Oryzias latipes: one gene and its partners. The protein of the gene in region 1 interacts with the protein of each later gene in a biochemical or structural test. Links are inferred from orthologs where the notes say so. Each region holds a gene or a part of one and is shown in the gene's direction. Other genes may lie near its edges.

The links.
Region 2: the proteins of ube2m (region 1) and DCN1-like protein 5 form a complex in vitro, tested with the Homo sapiens proteins (3 studies listed by BioGRID). The link is inferred for Oryzias latipes from reciprocal best matches to the Homo sapiens genes UBE2M and DCUN1D5.
Region 3: the proteins of ube2m (region 1) and dcun1d3 form a complex in vitro, tested with the Homo sapiens proteins (4 studies listed by BioGRID and IntAct). The link is inferred for Oryzias latipes from reciprocal best matches to the Homo sapiens genes UBE2M and DCUN1D3.
Region 4: the proteins of ube2m (region 1) and rbx1 form a complex in vitro, tested with the Homo sapiens proteins (15 studies listed by BioGRID and IntAct, with this or other methods). The link is inferred for Oryzias latipes from reciprocal best matches to the Homo sapiens genes UBE2M and RBX1.
Region 5: the proteins of ube2m (region 1) and dcun1d4 form a complex in vitro, tested with the Homo sapiens proteins (3 studies listed by BioGRID). The link is inferred for Oryzias latipes from reciprocal best matches to the Homo sapiens genes UBE2M and DCUN1D4.

The regions. Positions count from the first base shown.
Region 1 is NC_019866.2:195,051-199,189, forward strand, and holds the start of ube2m (NEDD8-conjugating enzyme Ubc12), read left to right. Parts: upstream 1-1,335; 5' UTR 1,336-1,524; coding exon 1,525-1,639; intron 1,640-2,585; coding exon 2,586-2,680; intron 2,681-3,443; coding exon 3,444-3,482; intron 3,483-3,550; coding exon 3,551-3,654; intron 3,655-3,739; coding exon 3,740-3,803; intron 3,804-4,139.
Region 2 is NC_019871.2:4,931,757-4,935,814, forward strand, and holds the start of DCN1-like protein 5, read left to right. Parts: upstream 1-1,256; 5' UTR 1,257-1,413; intron 1,414-3,856; exon of another isoform or gene 3,857-3,914; intron 3,915-4,051; 5' UTR 4,052-4,058. UniProt on the Homo sapiens protein: Contributes to the neddylation of all cullins by transferring NEDD8 from N-terminally acetylated NEDD8-conjugating E2s enzyme to different cullin C-terminal domain-RBX complexes which is necessary for the activation of cullin-RING E3 ubiquitin ligases (CRLs).
Region 3 is NC_019877.2:9,527,791-9,531,305, reverse strand, and holds part of dcun1d3 (DCN1-like protein 3), read left to right. Parts: coding exon 1-314; intron 315-3,515. UniProt on the Homo sapiens protein: Contributes to the neddylation of all cullins by transferring NEDD8 from N-terminally acetylated NEDD8-conjugating E2s enzyme to different cullin C-terminal domain-RBX complexes and may play a role in the cell cycle progression by regulating the SCF ubiquitin E3 ligase complex, after UV damage.
Region 4 is NC_019866.2:19,409,122-19,413,205, reverse strand, and holds rbx1 (E3 ubiquitin-protein ligase RBX1), read left to right. Parts: upstream 1-1,452; 5' UTR 1,453-1,688; coding exon 1,689-1,766; intron 1,767-2,767; coding exon 2,768-2,846; intron 2,847-2,996; coding exon 2,997-3,067; intron 3,068-3,209; coding exon 3,210-3,295; intron 3,296-3,404; coding exon 3,405-3,417; 3' UTR 3,418-3,582; downstream 3,583-4,084. Other genes in the region: chondroadherin-like protein, read left to right, coding at 62-353. UniProt on the Homo sapiens protein: E3 ubiquitin ligase component of multiple cullin-RING-based E3 ubiquitin-protein ligase (CRLs) complexes which mediate the ubiquitination and subsequent proteasomal degradation of target proteins, including proteins involved in cell cycle progression, signal transduction, transcription and transcription-coupled nucleotide excision repair.
Region 5 is NC_019862.2:1,336,464-1,339,289, forward strand, and holds part of dcun1d4 (DCN1-like protein 4), read left to right. Parts: intron 1-949; coding exon 950-1,041; intron 1,042-1,167; coding exon 1,168-1,276; intron 1,277-2,826. UniProt on the Homo sapiens protein: Contributes to the neddylation of all cullins by transferring NEDD8 from N-terminally acetylated NEDD8-conjugating E2s enzyme to different cullin C-terminal domain-RBX complexes which are necessary for the activation of cullin-RING E3 ubiquitin ligases (CRLs).

The DNA.
Region 1 (4,139 bases):
CACCTGTGATGACCCTCCGCCCCCACCCCTCACTTCACCTGATCACGAGGGAAAGGCATGCTAATGCGCTAGCAGGTTAGCAGGCTGTCTGCCCCCCCGCGGCTGCTCCCCCTGGTACCGGGTGCAGAAGCCCCGGAGGGACCGGGACAGATGGACCCCCCCTCCCTCTCCCTCAAACACACACGCACGCACGCACGCACGCGAACGGTCTCTCACCTGTTCGTTGGGGCGCGCATGCTCGTCTGTGGCTCATCAGAATGGACGGTAGCCTCGTTAGCTCCGGTTAGCCCCGTTAGCTCCGCCGCTTCCTTATCACACCCCCCCGCACACCTCTCTGCCGCGGCGGCCCCGGAGCCCTCACGCGCGACCCATCCTCCCCGCCTCAGAGACGCACGCGGGACCCAAACATCGATCTGAAACTGATCGATATCGATCAGGTGATCAGGCCTCGGATGGATGCGCGTGCACTCCGCCTCTCTCTCTGCAGCGTGGATCTATCTCTCTCTACCCGCAGCTTACGCCTTCTTCTCCGCGTGTCCTTCCCCGCAATCACGCAGGCGCCGCTCCTTTCGCTCCCGCACAAACCCCCGCAGCCAGGAGCCGCTGGCGTGAGCGCTGTGCGCGGCTATTGTTCTCGCGCCTAGTGTTGGCGTGAGAAGCGTGATCCGGAGCCCGCGCGCCGCCCTGACACGTTTAACCTCCGCACTGATTACATCACGCAGGTGACCGCACACGCCGCCTCAGAGTGGGAGGGAGACGCAACAGCAAAATAAATAAATAAATGAAGTAAATAAAAATGGGGAGCGACAGCATGTACGCCCCACCTCTGTTGGTGACGTCACAACAGGGAAGTGGGTGGAAAAGGGCATTATGGGAAATATCAATTCACTGTTGCACGAATTTAACAGCAATAAAACTGTCCATTTACTATTTCCGAGCACGCACCCCCTAAACGCACGCGCACAGAGAAATGAGTACTTCAGGATCCCAGAAAAAAGGAAACATACAATTAAAAAAAAGTAATTTTTGAAACAGAAAAATGTTACCCAGAGAATAAAATGACTATTATTAAAGTAATAAACGCAAAATGTCAAAAGTACAATTAATACCAAAGTATGCAAAGTTTTTGTTGTTACTGTTTTTGTTATTTTTATTTATATTTGTAAAAATTCCATCGTTTTAAATTAAAGCTCGATCCAAATCTGAACAGAAACATTTCAATGTTTTTCAACTTTATTACACTTTTCTCTGTTTACATTTTTTCCAGTGAACTTCTTCACAGCAGGGGGGGGGGGGGGGTCCGTATGACACCCACCCCCACCCCACCCCCCACCCCCGCTAACAGGCTAGGCTAGCAGGCTAGCAGCTGCCGCGTTCAGAGACCCGTTCAGACGCGCCGGCTTCGTCCACGTTCCGGTGCTGTTAGGACCGATCCGAACCTCCGAACAGTCCCAGACGACCTGGAGGGACCGCGCAACCCGAAGGCTCGCTAGCTTGCCCCCCCCCCCTGATCAAAAGGTGAAGATGATTAAGCTGTTTTCTCTAAAGCAGCAGAAGAAAGACGAGGAATCTGCTGGAGGAAACAGAGCCGGAGCCGGGGGGAAGAAAGCCAGCGCGGCCCAGCTCCGAATACAGAAAGGTGGGCTCCTCCTCTGCACCGGCCCGGGACCGCCGCCGGTCCTCCGGGAGGGCCTGCTGCTGTCTGCGCGCTTTCAGGCAGCTCCGGTCCCCGGACGGAGGGAAGTCCGGGCCGGCAGCGGCGACAGTTCCGGCTAACGGCTAGCATGCTAACCTAGCTGCTAGCTGTTAGCCACGGCTAACCTCGAAAACAAAGTGATGAGCAGCTGTGGGGGGGTTAACCCTTGTGCTATCTCAGATGACCCCCCCCCCTCCTTCCATTGAGGTGTTCTCCCTACCATGACAAAGGTGGATAAAGGTGGAAAGATTTCATGTAATCCATGGACACCAGTGAAGATCACAAATCATTGAAGAAAAAAGGTTCAGAGCTCTGTCTAGTGGGTCTAGATGACCCACTGTCTAGTGGGTCTAGATGACCCCACTCCCAATGTTAAAGTGCCTAGGATAGCACAAGGGGTACACGCCTTCCACCGGGGACAGGGGGGCAAATCTGGAGTGAAGTTGGCCAGAACCAAACAGGAGGAGTGGGGGGGGGGGGGGGGGGGGGACTCGGGTGATTTAATTGTCCAATCTGAAATGTCTAAGCAGAGCCTAAATGCAAACATAGTATGATGTCCAGAGCTAGAAGCTATTTCAGGTAGGGTGGGGCTGGCTCCAGGTGCGCCCTCCAGGTGCGCAGGTGCATCCTCCAGGTGCGCAGGTGCACCCTCCAGGTGCGCAGGTGCACCCTCCAGGTGCGCAGGTGCACCCTCCAGGTGCGCAGGTGCACCCTCCAGGTGCGCCCTCCAGGTGCACCCTCCAGGTGCGCCCTCCAGGTGCACCCTCCAGGTGCACCCTCCAGGTGCGCCCTCCAGGTGCACCCTCCAGGTGCGCCCTCCAGGTGCACCCTCCAGGTGCTGTCCTGTGATGAAGAGAAGGATCCTGAACGGCAGGTGTTTGTGTTCCAGACATCAACGAGCTGAACCTGCCAAAGACGTGCGAGATCAGCTTCCCCGACGATGACGACCTACTCAACTTCAGGCTCATCATCTCGCCGGATGAGGTGCGTGTTTGATTCCTAGCAGTGCAGACGTTCACGTTTACACTCGGCTGTGTGTGTGTGGGGGGGGGGGGGGGGGGTCATGTGACCACAGATGGACATCATGTAGCCGAGGTTCCTCGTGTTCCTGCTGGATTCTGGAGCATTTCAAAGAGCAGCAGTTAACCTGGATTTTCAGAATAAAAGCCAGGTATCCTGTTGAACTCCCGGAGGGAATTTCAAACCAAGTGGAAGCAAAAAGAAGGAATTCTTCATGATTGTTCATCATCATGTTCCTCATGAATCCACTCCGTGATTCTTCTCCCCTGAGATGATTGGTCAAAGTCCTGCTGCTGCTTGTGTTCACGTCAGGGACCTCATGTAAAACTTTATTTAAACTGCAGACAGATGACAGACAGAGAGCTAAACCCAGAGTGCGGGCTGTCAGGCGGAACACTCATGTGGCACTGCGGTGCTGGTCGGATCCAGTCGCAGGCAAAACCAGTTTTTGGTAGACGGGTCTCCAGGGGGGCTGGGCGTGTCATGGGTTTGAGCCTTGCCTGTCATACCAGAGTACTCTGATTACTCTGGGGGTGGAGGCTCTGAGCCCATACCATTAGTCCTCCGCCACCATGCTTCATAGATTCCATATTTTGTAGTGCTGCCCTGTAAGTGGCTGCTTCAGCTGTGGCCCCCCCACAGCCATGTCACAACATTGGGGTTTTGAGGCAGAGTGGGGGGCATGGAGGGGGCAGCATCCTGCAGCTAACCTGTGTTTCTGTCTCAGGGTTTCTACAAAGGAGGGAAGTTCGTCTTCAGCTTTAAGGTCAGCAAACGCGTCATTTGGCCCCGCCCCTTCTCTGCTCGCAGACATCATAAGAGTTTGTGTTTCAGGTAGGACAGGGTTACCCCCACGACCCCCCCAAAGTGAAGTGTGAGACGATGGTGTACCACCCCAACATTGACCTGGAAGGAAACGTCTGTCTAAACATCCTCAGGTCAGTTCTTCAGAACCGGAGATCCGAACAGCGAGGGGGGGGGGGGGGGGTTCTGGAGGTTCATGTGTGCTCTTCTGCTCCACAGAGAGGACTGGAAGCCGGTTCTGACGATAAACTCCATCATCTACGGTCTGCAGTATCTCTTTCTAGTAAGACACGTCACATGATCTGGGGGAGGGGGGGGGGTCTGCTGGTCAGCCAATCATACTGCAGGAGGGTCACCCACTGGGCCCCTCCCAACTGGGAAACTCCTGTCAGTGGGCGGGGCGTATTTGGATAAGGGGACGCCTTAGCTGCCCCCCCATTCCGTAGCTAAATCTAGGAGCAATCTGGAAGAGCGGTTCTGCTAGGGAACAGTGGACCCAGTGGGATCAGCCCAACGTAGAGAACCTGGAACCGGTGGAGGCGGGTCTTCTGCCTGCTTTGATTCAGACTCCAGCTGGAACTGGACCAGAAGGTTCTCCACCGTAGAACGGTTAAAGAAC
Region 2 (4,058 bases), on another chromosome or scaffold:
AAACTCAAAGGCTGTCTTCACACAGTTTGAGCTATTTTGATGTTCATATAGCCCTAATACTGTGTGTCAGTTACCCTCTTTTTGTCTGCATAAATTCGCAGATCCAACACATAAAGGTCACTTTTGGAATGTGTGTGGTTTCCTATGTCACATTACAGCCCTTATTCTACATTTACTGAAGGTTTGATGATTGTTGTTTGAATATCACCCTGTTCTAAAAGAAAGTGACATTATCAGATGATTTCTGGCAGGTTTAGTAGTTGCAGAAAGATTTCTTTTCTTTAGGGTAACTGCATTTTGAAAGTATATCTAGATTACAGAAAACGGATCACTACTAAAGAATTTTCCTTATGAGGTTTTTATTTAAATAAAAAATGTTGATATTAGTGATTAATACAGTCAGGTCCATAAACATTGGGACAGCAAGTCCCAGCATTTCAAATCCATTGTGGTGGTGTATAGAGCCAAAAATGTAGGAATTGTGTCGCTGTCCCAATATTTATGGACCTGACTGTAGCTTGCCTACAATTGGTATAATATAGTTAAATAAACATAAATATAATTAGAGATGTCCACAGAAGTAGGAAATTTTTCATGTAAGTTCTTCATTTGGGGTGTTAAGAAGTGACATTACTGTCCACTGAAGGTTGGAGGATTACATATTTAAAATTTACTCATCTGAATTAATAGAAAACAGTTTTGTACATTCATACGTCAACGTAAAACCTCAGTGGGGCACCACAAATCCTCCAAAACACAATCTTGACAACATATTGGACATAGTAGTAGTCCCCAGTGTCCCCCAGATATGGTCTCAGGGTAAAATAATCTGCTTCCTATTAAATACAGAAACTGTTTTATATGAAAAGTGTAAATAAAATGTGTGAGTAGTTTTCTCTAAGTCTTGCTAGTGACAGACATGATAATAAAAATTAATAACAGATACTCTGATATTCAGAGATGAGTGGATCTCTGATACTAAATACATACACAATCCCTGGTTTAGAATTGAGTAAAAAAAAACTCAACCAATTGAAATCAGTTTAATTTTTCAGTCATGTCAGGTCTCCAATAAATCAGTGAAAAGGGTCTGGGCCCCTTTAAGATTTATTGCACGTTCCAACTTGTTTCTTGTAGGGGAACGTCTTTTGTTTTTGTTCAAAGCGCTTACTTTTTTTACATAATTTTTTAAAATATATTTTCTGCTCTTATCTTAGTGTATTTTGTTTTTACACGTGTCATTTGATAAAGATGAACTGATTTAGTTTTATTTCAAACCAGTAAGTATTTATTTCGCAGTACACCCCTGCAACAAAATGGTACTGCCCACTCCCACAGAAACGCCGGGATACCGGCTAAAGAAGAAACCTATTAGAAGCAGGTGGAATCTGTGTCATACGAGACCTGAGCAACGTAAGTGTTTAAAATTGGTTCAATGATTTCATTTAATGACTCATTGGTTTTTAACGTAGACCTCTTTTTTATATTTAATCAATCATACGATTATATTGTGTAAATGTACGACACATCAGTTAATAAAATAGCCGACTATAGTGTAGAGTAGCACCGAGGAGCCGTTAGCCTTAGCTACCAAACAAAAGAAGTCTGTTGAGACCCAGATTTGATTATTTGTCATACGTTGGGGACACCAACAAACGTCTGTCTGTCTCGTAGTTGTTTTTTAATGACTTTTTAGTCGAAAAAACTCACTTGTTGCTGGTAAACTTGATTTTTTTCATTCCCCCGTGTTGAGGTTAGACGCGAAGCTAATGTTAGCTAAGCTACGACAGCAGTAGGGTGCTGTACGCTGCAGTATTGAATCTAAGCATTTCGGTCTTCAGCCCCTACTAGGAGTTTTGTATTGTCTTTATTATGAACACAAAAAAATTGCAAAATTTGTACTTTCAGCGTGACCTCTGTGCTTGTATTTAGGGGGGGGGGGGGGGAATGCCAAATCAAATGAATAGTGACGCAGTTTCTTTTAAGGTTAGCGTTTTAACGGTTAACGTATGAAATTCGAAAGGAAGTTCATTCTTCAACAGTTTGGATCATATTTGGTTGAGACGTGTGTGTGCGTATATGTGTGCGCGTACATGTATGTGTATGTGTTGTACTGGACGCCATGAATCCAAATGTCCACATGTTCCAGTTTGAGGGGCCAGTCTGTCACCCTGCTCCAAAGGCTTTTAGGGAGTAAATCATGGCAGAAACATTGGTGTGAAAATCCAATGTCACGCTGTGATTTGCTTGTTCTAACGTGTAACGACAATAAGGTATTCCGATTATGACCTGCAGACATGAAACTGGTAATCACAGCTGTAAAGTCAATATTTGAACCAACCGATGTCACAGTAAAAGACTTTGACTTATTTTTAACCCAATAGGAGCCTTGTATGACTTCTATATCTGGATTACATGTCAAGTGATGACATGTTACTTGAACAAAAACAAAATGAAAAAGGAGTTTTCGGATCATTGTGACCTGTGGCTGGGGTTTAAATACACATGTGGTGTTGTGAGTGTACATACTGTAAATACATAGGAGGTTTTTGTTCTTTAAGGGACCGGCTGACTTAAGCCTCTGTATGATTGACCTTTTCCTCAATCCTTTTATAAAATGTAACTGTCAATATTCTTTCTGTTTTGCTGGTATTTTGTGAAATTTGACACTAATGTTAACTTTCAACTGCAGTAAGGCAGATATCTAAAAATAAATGTTGTTTAGTTACGTTATAGAGCATGCTTTTTACATTATTTAATATCTTTGAATCTATTTGAAAGACCAGATTTTAAAAACAGAATGACTATATGGTACTTTGTGAATTGATGGTTTAGCTTTTTTTTTTTCTTTTTGAAGATACAAAGCTCTTGGAGTCTTATTTTTAGGGTTATGGTATGGTTCAGTGCTTTTCTCTGTTTGATATTTAAAGACTTACCCTGATGAGAATTGGGGTTTTGGTGATTTTAACATGCTCTTGTGGCATTCATTCTCCTATTATGAAAGTGAAGCTCAAAGTTGCATTTCTGAGTATTTATTTTTAGTCAAATTGTTGTCGTTCGTGAAACCTTGGTTCAGTTCCGGGCTGCTCCCTATTCCCTTCTCTGCTCCTGTGCTGGTCCCAAGCCTGGTGGGATTGAGAGGGTTGCGTCAGGAAGGGCATCCGGCGTAAAACATTGCCAAGTTAACCATGCGATTCATCCTCCAGGGAGGGTTGTTTCGCTGTGGCGACCCCTGATGGGAGAAGCCGACAGTGAAAGAAGAAGTTGTGAATCAGGAGAAGACAAAAAAAAACTGTTTGAAAATATCTTTTGTGGCGTAGAAAGCTCCATCCTGATGCATCCACGTATAGATGTTCAGATCGTCAGACGTCTTTGTTTTTCTCGTTCGAGCTGAGATCTGGCTCAAAACTGTCTGTCTGGGTAGCTTCAATATTTTTTGCCTTTTTTGTTTCACCTGTAATGTTGGGCTGTTTGTGTGAAGGGCTGTAAACTACCTCAATATAATGTAAACAGAAAGCTCTCAGCAATAGGGGGAGCGGGGTTGCTCCGTGCCTACAGTCCTGCCCACAACTAAGAAGGGAATTTCTAATGAACTCCTGCCGCTCATAGAAACTATGAACTTGAAAACAACGGAGGTTAATTGATTTTGGCTAAAAATTGCATAATCATAATTCAAAGAACACTATGAACGCTTTGACAATAGATCAAAAGATAATTGAACCCTTTAGATTTAGCACAAATTTAACACAAATAAAGCGTTTTAAGGCAGCCTCTTTTCATTCTGCTAGTTTTAAGTTGCAATAAAGCTTGCAGTTTTATAGTTCCAGCTAACAGTTGCTGTTTGTGTGATTTTTAGAAACGACTTAAGCAGTCTGGCAGATCTCGGGGCAGTTTCAGAAAAACTGGACAAGCTAGTGAGTCCTGCTAACAGTTTTTGTATTGATTTGAAACAACACAGTACATCTTTTACAATTTGTCGTTATAACAAAGATGAGGCATGTTTTGTGTATTTCTGTCATACTTTCTTTTTTTGTTGTTGTTGTTGTTGCAGCATCTTT
Region 3 (3,515 bases), on another chromosome or scaffold:
GAGCTGAGTGCTCCATGTAGCAAAGCCACCAGTGAGCTTTCAAATGGCACCAAAACCCCTGATGTTACAGTGGAGACACCCATCCTCCCATCACTGATGGGGGAGTCCCTCAAAGATGATCGTGTGAATGGAGATGGATTGTCCATGTGGCGTATCGAGGAGCTCTTCTGTTGCTACAAGGATGAACAGGAAGATGCCATATTGGAAGAAGGCATGGAGAGATTTTGCAATGATTTGTGTGTGGACCCAGCTGAGTTTCGTGTTCTGGTTCTTGCCTGGAGGTTTCAAGCAGCCACTATGTGCAAGTTTACAAGGTAAGGAATGAGTTAGAAAAGCTAATGATTTATGTGTTGTTGTTTTTTTTCTCTATCATAGAAACTTTTCTTTTTTTGGATCAGCAGCTCAACCTCTGTGCCATGAGGTTGAGCTGGTGACCTCTGATTGGTTTGTAAGATTGTGGGTTTAGTTCCTGCTTTACCTGCCTATAAATGTCAGTGTCCTTGGGCAAGACATGGGACCCTACTTTGCTCCTGGTGGTCTGGCTAGTTCCCTTGTATGGCTGCTCTCCCACCATCAGTGATTTTTGTTCACAGGAGTTGTGACTGTACAGCTCTAGACAAGTAAACACAATGAGACAAATAGTATTTTTCAGTCACCTGTGACTTGTCCACCTAAAAAGACAGGGTCTGTAATGTTCATCATAGGTGAGAGACATAATGTTAAAAAGAAGAATCCAGGGATTCATTGTATGAGTTTTAAACAATTAGTTCGTATAATAAGTATTCTGACTACAAAAGTTCATTTCAGTGCTTAAATCTTGGTTGGCAATGTCAGTTTAAATGTCCCCTGGATGTCTTTAACCAGACTTGGACGGTAGCTGCTTTTTGTTCCATTCTTCCATGCAGATCTTCTCAAGAGCTGTGATGTTTTGGTGCTGTCGCTGAGCAACACAGACTTTCAACTTTTCCACAGATTCTCTGTTGGACACAAAGAGTCTAGAGGCTAGTTAGGTCACTCCAATACCCTGAAATGAGTTTTCTGTAAATTCCATCAGTGCCCTCACTGATGGAATTTGGATTTTTGATCAAAATCTCACCATACATTGCTCATGTGTCCACCCACTGTGAAGCATGTGGGTGGACACATGAGCAATGTATGATGCGATGTTCTTGAGATGCAACTAAGCATTCTTTTTCTTCCAAACAAGGAGAGCAACATGTATACCATGGAACTATATAAATATATATATTTTTTTTCTGACCACACAATCTTCTCCCAATCCTCCTGTGGATCATGCAGTGCAGTGTGGCTGATGTAGTGCAGTATGGCTGATGTAGTGTGTTAGTGTGGTCCCAGCTCTCTCATTGACCAGTTCACAAGAATCGTTTCTTCACCATTCTCAAACTCATTTGTACCCAAATAGGTACGATTTTGCAGGAAGCTCTAGGTGGACGGTGATTGTCAATTATCTTGTTTATCTTCTATTTTCGAATAATTGCACCAACAATTGAGCTCGTCTCATCAAGCTGCTTGTTTATTGTAGACTGGTTCATCCCAGTCTTGTTCAAGTCTACAGTTGTGCCCCTGGTGGCTTTAGACAGCTCTTGTGGCCTTTCCAGTGTAATTGTTTATGGCTGTGAACTGGTGTCTTTTATACAGATAACCAGTTCAGACAGGTGACATTAATACAGGCAATGAGTGGGAGATACAAGAGCTTCTTATAGAAAAAGTAACCGGTCTGTGAGGGACAGAATGCTTATTTGTACAAACTTAAATATTTGATTTCTGAACCATCATAAAAATTCTTTAAAAATCACGCAATGTATTCAGTCTACAATGATCTCCAATAGGCCAGTACATTTCATCATGGTTGCAAATGTATTTGATGATTGATTTAAAACATACTCTTAAACTGTTTTGTAGTTTTCACTGCTATGTGTGCATTTTATAATTCTGAGAAGCTTTGATACATCACGTTTTGGGTTGATGTTGTGTTTAAATTGCGTGCAGATGAATGTGCACACTTTAGCATCAGCAGTGGCGTCCTCTTCTTCCTTTGCTGTTTCCCTGCCAGCTGCTGAAGGCTCATTACTTTACTGACAAATTATAGATGTTGCAACACAGCATTAAAAGCTGGTATTTAAAAGAAAGCCAGCAGCAAATCAAAGCCAGTAGTCTTCAGTTTATTTCTCCTAATTTAGCAACCATTCCATTTTTTGAAGGTTATTGTTCCTCCAATGTGATGCACAGGTCCGTTCTTCTGTCAAGGACCACAGTTACCTGCGCCGGTCACTGTTGGGAACCATTCCAAATATCTTTATTAGGTAATTTTGAAGGGAAAAAACTTTATTCTAAAAAATTAAGCTACGAAAGGCACAAATTAATAGCAAGCACTGAGGGTAAGGTTCCTTAAAGCTACTGTGGCACCAAAAGTTGCTGATAGAGCTGTCACTCAAACTGCTGTTGGGATTTATTATTATTTTATTGGCTAACAAACTTCCTTCCAGTTAAGAAATAAAGTAAAGCAAACTTCATTTTATAAAAAGCGATTCATTTTTGGTAACTTTTTATTTTCCTGGAAAATCTGGAATGTACTCTTTTTCTAGGTCGATTAAAATTAAATTTCTGATCACTGTTCAACTGCTGTCACATTTATGAGAAGAGGAAGCAAACAGTCACCACTCAGGAGAACCAAACTGTTGCTGCAGATTTTTTTGAGTTTTTTATTTTTCTACAGCTGCAGTTATTCCTTTATTTTTATTTTTTTGTAACTCTGCTCAGTTGTTTTGTATTTTTATTATAATCTTTCATTAAGTGCTTGCAAGATGGAAAAAATGTCTATACTGAAGAAGAAACCTAGCTTATTTATTCTCAAGATCCTTCTGTAAGAGTGTAAGTGGATGCAGTATCGCTTGATTTAGAATGAATATATTTGTTTATACCAGATATATTTCAGGTCCTCTGCTATTGTGAGGAAGCGTTTCATCTTACCGGGCCCCTAATTCATTTTTTTCAATAAAGATGCCGCCAGCTAAACGGAACAGTAGTGCATACCTGTTCTGCTCTATTGAACTTTGAGGTGGTTCTTTCTAGAACCTCATCTCTTTTCTCAGAACAGCCATGTCAAAAAAAAAAAACGGCAAACCTGTTTTAGAGATATTTGTTCAGTCTTCAAGGGAAAGTCTGCAGCGTTTCTGTGAAAACAATACAGGTGGAGAAATTCAAACCTAATTGGTCAGTTTTGATCCTTTATTTGTGAAGAATAAACTGAGTTTTGAGATGAATTTTACCTATAGTTAAAAAAAAAAAGTCACACACACATCGGCAATCCTTATAATTCTAATATTTTTGCTTGATGTCCCTTTTAAAGCAGACTTTGAACAGCAAGAAGGTTCTTTTTTTTTTTAAGTTTCCTTTCTTTGTTGTTATTGTTGGCATTTCCCTTCGCCTGTCGGAAATCATGGCTCAATTTATATTAAAACAGTTGTGAATAAGTTGGATTGTATGTTTTAAAA
Region 4 (4,084 bases), about 19 Mb from region 1:
GTACGGTCAGTAAGCTCACATAACTTTTTTTGTGTTTTTGTGTACTATCTTTGTGTTTCAGGTGGATGGAGAGTGTGAGATTTGAAGTTACAGCGACTTGCGGTAACCCTCCTGACCTCAGAGGTCAGCAAGTCAGAGACATTAATGTCTTCGCATCCTGCTCAGAAAACGCCTCCATTAAGCAGGAGGGCAGCAGGGAGCCGAAACTTTCTACAATAACCAAACCAGGTTCTTTGAAGCCCCCCAAAGTGAAAACTAGACCTGCGAAGTCGAAACTAAGCAAATCATCTAAGAAAAGGTTACAAAAAAAATCTGGGACTCCAAAAAAGACCATGAACAAGATGGCATTATAATAAAATGAATCATGTTTTGGTGGTTTCTTTACAAAGAGTTTTGTTTGGGAAAAAGTTCAACTTTTTTGTTTTTTTATTAAAACTGCTTCATACAACATGTTGTGTGCACTATCTTCATATTTTGTAGGCAAAGCTACTCTAAACAACAGAATACAACTTTTCAAAAAATATTAAAAGTCACAAAATATATAAGTTTATTGATCCTGTTGGCCTCCTGTCCGGCCTTCGCGGATTCGGATGGTTCAGGACGTCCAAAAATGAAATGTGCAGTTGGGGAAACGAAAAGACACAAGAGTTTGCATGAATTCTCAAACCTTTTGCAAAAACGGAGAGTTGGAAAAACATGACCTGTTAGGCTCTGTGGCTGTCCGCTCTCTCTGTCCTCAAGGCAAAAAGGCGTTTTTTATTATTAAGTAAGGGAAGATGAAAACATACAAAATACGTCAGTAGAATGGTGTGTTTCTGTCTAGTCTGCATTGCAGCTGTTATGGCTCCATAAACACTCCAGTACAGAAAGAAAGCAGAGACTGCAAGTCAAAAACAGGCCTACTGGTGACCTCGTCACATATTATCTGCTACTGAGGGCAGGAATCAAGCATATTTGTGCAGTACAATATACATGCAAAAATAGAATCCATTATAATAACAAGAAAATACAACATATAATAGAACCCCTGTAATGCATATTTAAAAGAACATAGAAAATATTATGGAACCCCTGTTCACCTCAACAATCGTCAAACATTAAAGTGTCTGTCAATTATTTTATTTTCAAATAATAAATAGCACGGAACACAAAAAGTAGGCCTGTAAGTTAACTTAGCATTAAATCATTTACGGCAGGATGCTAATAATTTTTAAAACCCGTTATATTCACCGTTTTGATGAATGAAGAAGTTCCTGTTTTTAAATTTTTCTTTTTAAAGAAATTGTTAAGCTGCAAAAATGTAGTTAACCTGTTTAGTAGATAGAATTCTAACAATATTCGAATTGAACGTGTGATCGGTGTCTTGATGGTACCTTAATAATTCTTGGCTGTGGCTTCAACATGGTTCCATGGTGTAATGGTTAGCACTCTGGACTCTGAATCCAGCGATCCGAGTTCAAATCTCGGTGGGACCTGAGATTTTTCTTCCACCCTCGTCTATGGAATCACTTACTATCTTCTTTAAAGTTGTGCTTATTTATTAATTAATTTATTTAATTTTTAAATGAAATTCATGTTTTGGTTGTTATTTTATTTCGTCTTTCCCGTCTCAGTCGGTTAAGTTAATGAACTTAACCGACTGAGACTGTTGCTACATCCGGACGGCTTTGTACAGACGACGTTTCAAGATGGCAGCAGCGATGGACGTTGACACACCGAGTGGTGCTAACAGTGGCTCAAGCAAGAAACGCTTCGAAGTTAAAAAGGTCTGATTTTATTTATTACCTGGTCAACTCTGGATTGGTCAAACACGTTTGCTATATAAAAGAAGAACAAAGGAGCCCTGTCTGTTTTAACCTCCTCTAGCTGGTTAACGACTCCTATTAGCATGTTCGATGTTGCCTAGCATAAAGTTAGCTTGCTTAACGAAAATGAATGTGCATTTCTAAATAATGTCATAACTTAGACCATGTTGTGATATTTACAAGATTACCTTCAGTCGAGCGTAACAGAAAAACAGCGTTTTTGAAATGGTAACGAGAGCTATAATCTTAATTCTTTTAATATTTGTTTTATTTTTGTGCTATTCGGATGCTAATTTAGCTTAGCATAAAGCTGAGGTTTCAAGATCTAGCAGCACATCATCTTTTTCTCTAATTTTAAATTTTTGTTCGTGTATTTCACATGTTAACCGATTTCTTTAGATTATTGCTATAAAGTTTTATATATATATATATATATATATATATATATATATATATATATATATATATATATATATATATATATATATATATTCCCTTAAAAGTGCTTATCTGATTTGTGCACCTGACAGGTGCAATTTGATATATTTATCTTTACTGTAAAAGGAAGCACTAAATCTTTCCTGTCAACTATTTTTAAAATGGGGGGAAAAAAAGTGTCATGATGACCAAAAACAAGAAAATAATTCAGGAACATGTTCTTTATATCAGCCATGTCTATCAAAAATGGCAGGAAGGAAATGCTAATATTTTTGATTTCCCTAAAATGTTTTAACATTCCGATCAGTGGACATGTTTAACAACTATATTTTGTTTTCTTTTTGTAATTCCAGTTGCTTATTTCTTTCGATCCTTTCCATTCAAAGTATTACAAGACATTATGCTAGATATGGTTAAAAAAAAGTCTGGAAACGTTGGAACGTTCTAAAACATTTAACTGGTGTATATAATCCTGGGTAACATAGATTAAACATGTGCTCATCTGATTGTTCTGTCCCCCTCAGTGGAATGCTGTGGCGCTGTGGGCCTGGGACATTGTTGTGGATAACTGCGCCATCTGTAGAAACCACATCATGGATCTCTGTGAGTTCACTTTAATGCATTCTCTGATAGCTTCCTGTCTTCATTTTGACTTCAAACTTTTAGCAGAATGAGTACTTCTAAGCTTCTACAAGCCCTTCTTCTCCCAACAAGTTTAGATTTCTGTGACACGTTGCATGTTTTCTTGATCAGGCATAGAATGTCAAGCCAACCAAGCATCTGCAACCTCAGAGGAATGCACAGTAGCCTGGGGGGTCTGCAATGTAAGTTTCCAATTAAATTGATGGAAGACTCAGATTATCTGTGTGTTTTCTGGAAGATGAAATGATGGATACCAATATGAGCATTTAGAGCTAAAGCCCTTAACATTTCTAATTTCTTTTTCACCTGTTTGTCTTCTTTTAGCATGCATTCCATTTCCATTGTATTTCCCGCTGGTTGAAAACCAGACAAGTGTGTCCCCTTGATAACAGAGAGTGGGAGTTTCAGAAGTAAGTTTGATTGATGTCATGTAGTTTTATTGATTACATTTCTGAAAGTACGATTTTCTTTAAAGTTGTTGCTTTAGACATTGCTAAGCTGTTTGTCATGTTTTCACAGATATGGACATTGAGTCGGCCTGCCGCTCACTTCCTGCAAGAATCAATTTCACTGCTTCTTCAATCCCAGCGGCTTGTATTATTTTCCACACTTTTGTTTTAGTATGTTGTAATTAAATGGTGAGCTTGTAAGGTAAAAAGTTTGAAATAATAAATGGAAAAAAACTGGGAATTAACCTTTCATTTGTGTTTTTGTTTTTTTAATACAGTTGACTTTAAATCACATTGATGTTGACAGCGCAGTAACCCTCTTTAAGGACACGAATCTTCAGTGTAAATTAAATCACCACCAAAATGTTTGACTTCTCTTTACCATAGTTTATTGTGGAAGCTGTTAGAAAAATGAGTTTCATCTATTTGTTAAATTCCACACATGACAGAATACTTCCTAAAGACCCACTCTGATGAAAATCTTGTTTTCTGGTGTTTTCAACGTGCTCTAGTGCCTTTTTCTGATGAAGGGCATAAAAGAAAACTAAGCTCAAATTTACGTTCCAAAAATAACCTGCGATTAAAAAAAAAAAAAAGATTCCAATGAAAAATATCCACACAGACTGAAACGTAAACTGCGATAGTCAATGAGCGGTAATTCTATATTCAGATGAAAAAAAGAGCTTTGTGATGAGATTCATGTGGTGGGCAACAAGCGCCCCGCTTTACAACGGGGAGGGGATGGGGCGG
Region 5 (2,826 bases), on another chromosome or scaffold:
ACTTCATTTCATGGGCTCATAAGTAATTGGACAAATGAAATAACTGAAAACCAAATGGTCATTACTAATATTTGGTTGAAAAGCCTTTGTTGGCAATGACAGCCTGAAGTCTTGAACTCATGGACATCACCAGATGCTGGGTTTTCTCCTTCTGAATGCTCTGCCAGGCCTTTACTGCAGCGGCAAACAGTTGCTGTTTGTTTGTGGGCCTTTCTGTCTGAAGTTTAGTCTTCAACAAGTGAAATGCTGCTCAGTTGGGTTAAGATCAGGTGACTGACTTGGCCATTCCAGAATATTCCACTTCTTTGCTTTAATAAACTCCTGAGTTGCTTTGGCTGTATGTTTTGGGTCGTTGTCCATCTGGATTATGAAACGCCGTCCAATCAGTTTGGCTGCATTCACCTGGATCTACGCAGACAGTTTGTCTCTGAACACCTCAGAATTCATTGGGCTGCTTCTGTCCTGTGTCACGTCATCAATAAACACTAGTGTCCCAGTGCTACTAGCAGCCATGCAGGCCCAGACCATCACACTGCCTCCACCGTGTTTTACTGATGATGTAGTGTGCTTTGGATCAGGAGCTTCTCCACGTCTTCTCCATACTTTTCTCTTGCCATCATTCTGGTAGAGGTTAATTTTGGTTTCATCTGTCCAAAGAATGTTTTCCCAGAACTGTGCTGGCTTTTTTTAGGTGCTCTTCAGCAAAGTCCAATCTAGCCTTCCTATTCTTGAGGCTTCTGAGTGGCTTGCATCTTGCAGTGTACCCTCTGGATCTACTTTCATGCAGTCTTCTTTTGATGGTAGACTTGGATATTGATCCGCCTACCTCCTGGAGAGTGTTGTTCACTTGGTTGGCTGTTGTGAACGGGTTCCTCTTCACCATGGAAATGATTCTGCCATCAGTGATCTGATCTGAACTCTGCATCGGCTGTTTCCTGATTCTTCTCAGGTGGTGATGCTGGTTCTTGCATGGAAGCTGGATGCCCAGAGTATGGGATATTTCACCCTGCAGGAGTGGCTGAGAGGCATGAGCTCCCTTCAGTACGTCACTTCTGCATTTCTTCATTGTCCTCATTGGCTTTCAGATCTCCTCCTGGAGCTGATTTACCTCCATTTCCCGTGTTTTCTCTGTGACTGTAAGCTGATTGCATAAACTCTTGTTTGCAGGTGCGACTCCACAGAGAGGCTGAGGAACTCCCTGGACTACTTGAGATCTGTCCTGAACGACAGCACTAGTTTTAAGCTCATTTATAGATACGCCTTTGACTTTGCTCGGGTGAGTTTGACTAAAGCCTTTTCCACATTCCATTTCAGGTCTTTAAACTACGACGGAGATTTAGGGCCAGTTTACAAAAAAAATGTTTTTTTCAAATTATGACTTTAAAGTCGTAAATTTACGAGAAAAACGTCATAGATTACCGAGCAAAAAACACCAAAGTTTTCCATTTATTGGAGCCTAACTTGAAGATGAAATATGTGGAACCTTTTGTGAAGCTTTATTTCTGGAAAGGTTTAAAAAAAAAAGAGATTCTGAACCTTTTGATGACTCAAAATCAGATTATTGTCAGTGGAGCCGTCTTTCTGGGGTTCAGTGTCGCTAAAGCGGAGGTTCATATGTAAAATAAGGAGCTCAGAGACACGTTTGGGTGTAGAGGACCGCTGCAGCCTTTATTCTCCTTTTCATTCACAAACCCTGAAGTTCATTTGTCACATTACGTCATGAACCTGTCATCCAAACACCAATGCAGAGGTAAACAGTGTAACATACGCCCCCTCCTCCAGATGAAACGTCCCGTTTCAACTTAAAACAATAAAGAGGAATGAAAATAGTCTGTTGTATTAGCATTAGAACGTTGAAAATGACAAAAAATGCTGCTCCTCAGACGGAAGGATTGAAGTGGACATCTGCAGGGACACCGATGTCTTCATCAACGGCTGCAGAGATCCTGCAAACCCCCCATCAATAAATAAAACGTTAATAAATCATAAATCAAACAAATGAGCTTCCAAACATTTGGAACGTTATCAATAAACATTCAGCTCACCTGATCAACTACGTTTAGTCGGTCTGCTCTGCTGCTGCGAGGCGTTCACTTGCTGCTCTGTATGCTCACCTCCACTTTAATCTTGTAAAATTACGAGTTTTTTTCTTGTAAATCTACGATTTAAAATCTCGTAATTTTACTTTTTTTTTTTTTTTTTTTTTTTTTTTTTTGGTGGCCCTAAAACTCTGTCGTATTAAATGGATCAGAACACCAAGGCCAAACCCCAATGGCCTTCCTACCCCTTCAGCTGCTCCCTACCGTAACATTTAGCCTGCCAAGCGTGGAGATATGGGAAAATAGTGTCTTTAAATTCCGACATTACTACCACTTAATGATGACATCATCAATAGTCGGCGGTAGGTAATGCGCTTGTAAAATACATAACATCTCTTTTATAAATTTAAAAAGTTGTGTAAAAATAAAAATGGAATACTTAAATTTAAGTGTAAATTGAATTAACACTTAAGGTTACACTGTGCTTCCGAGCACACCCACAGGAAGAAACGCTTTCCCTTTTCTCCTTCGCGCCACAGCGCGATGCAGACCACCCTACCTGCGGAGGGACAGCAAACACGGGGTCACTACGTCTCCTCCTTAAGAAAAAACACTTTTAGACACCACTGAAGTCCCAAATAGCCCTAAAATTGGAGCAATAGGGAGGAGCCAGAGGGGTAGGAAAACAACTTGGATTCGGCCAAAATCTCTGAAAATGCCTTTTATTTGGAGGAAGAGTGAAGAGAGTGTCACTTCCTTGTTTTGCTGACAGTGAAAGAGCTCTGCT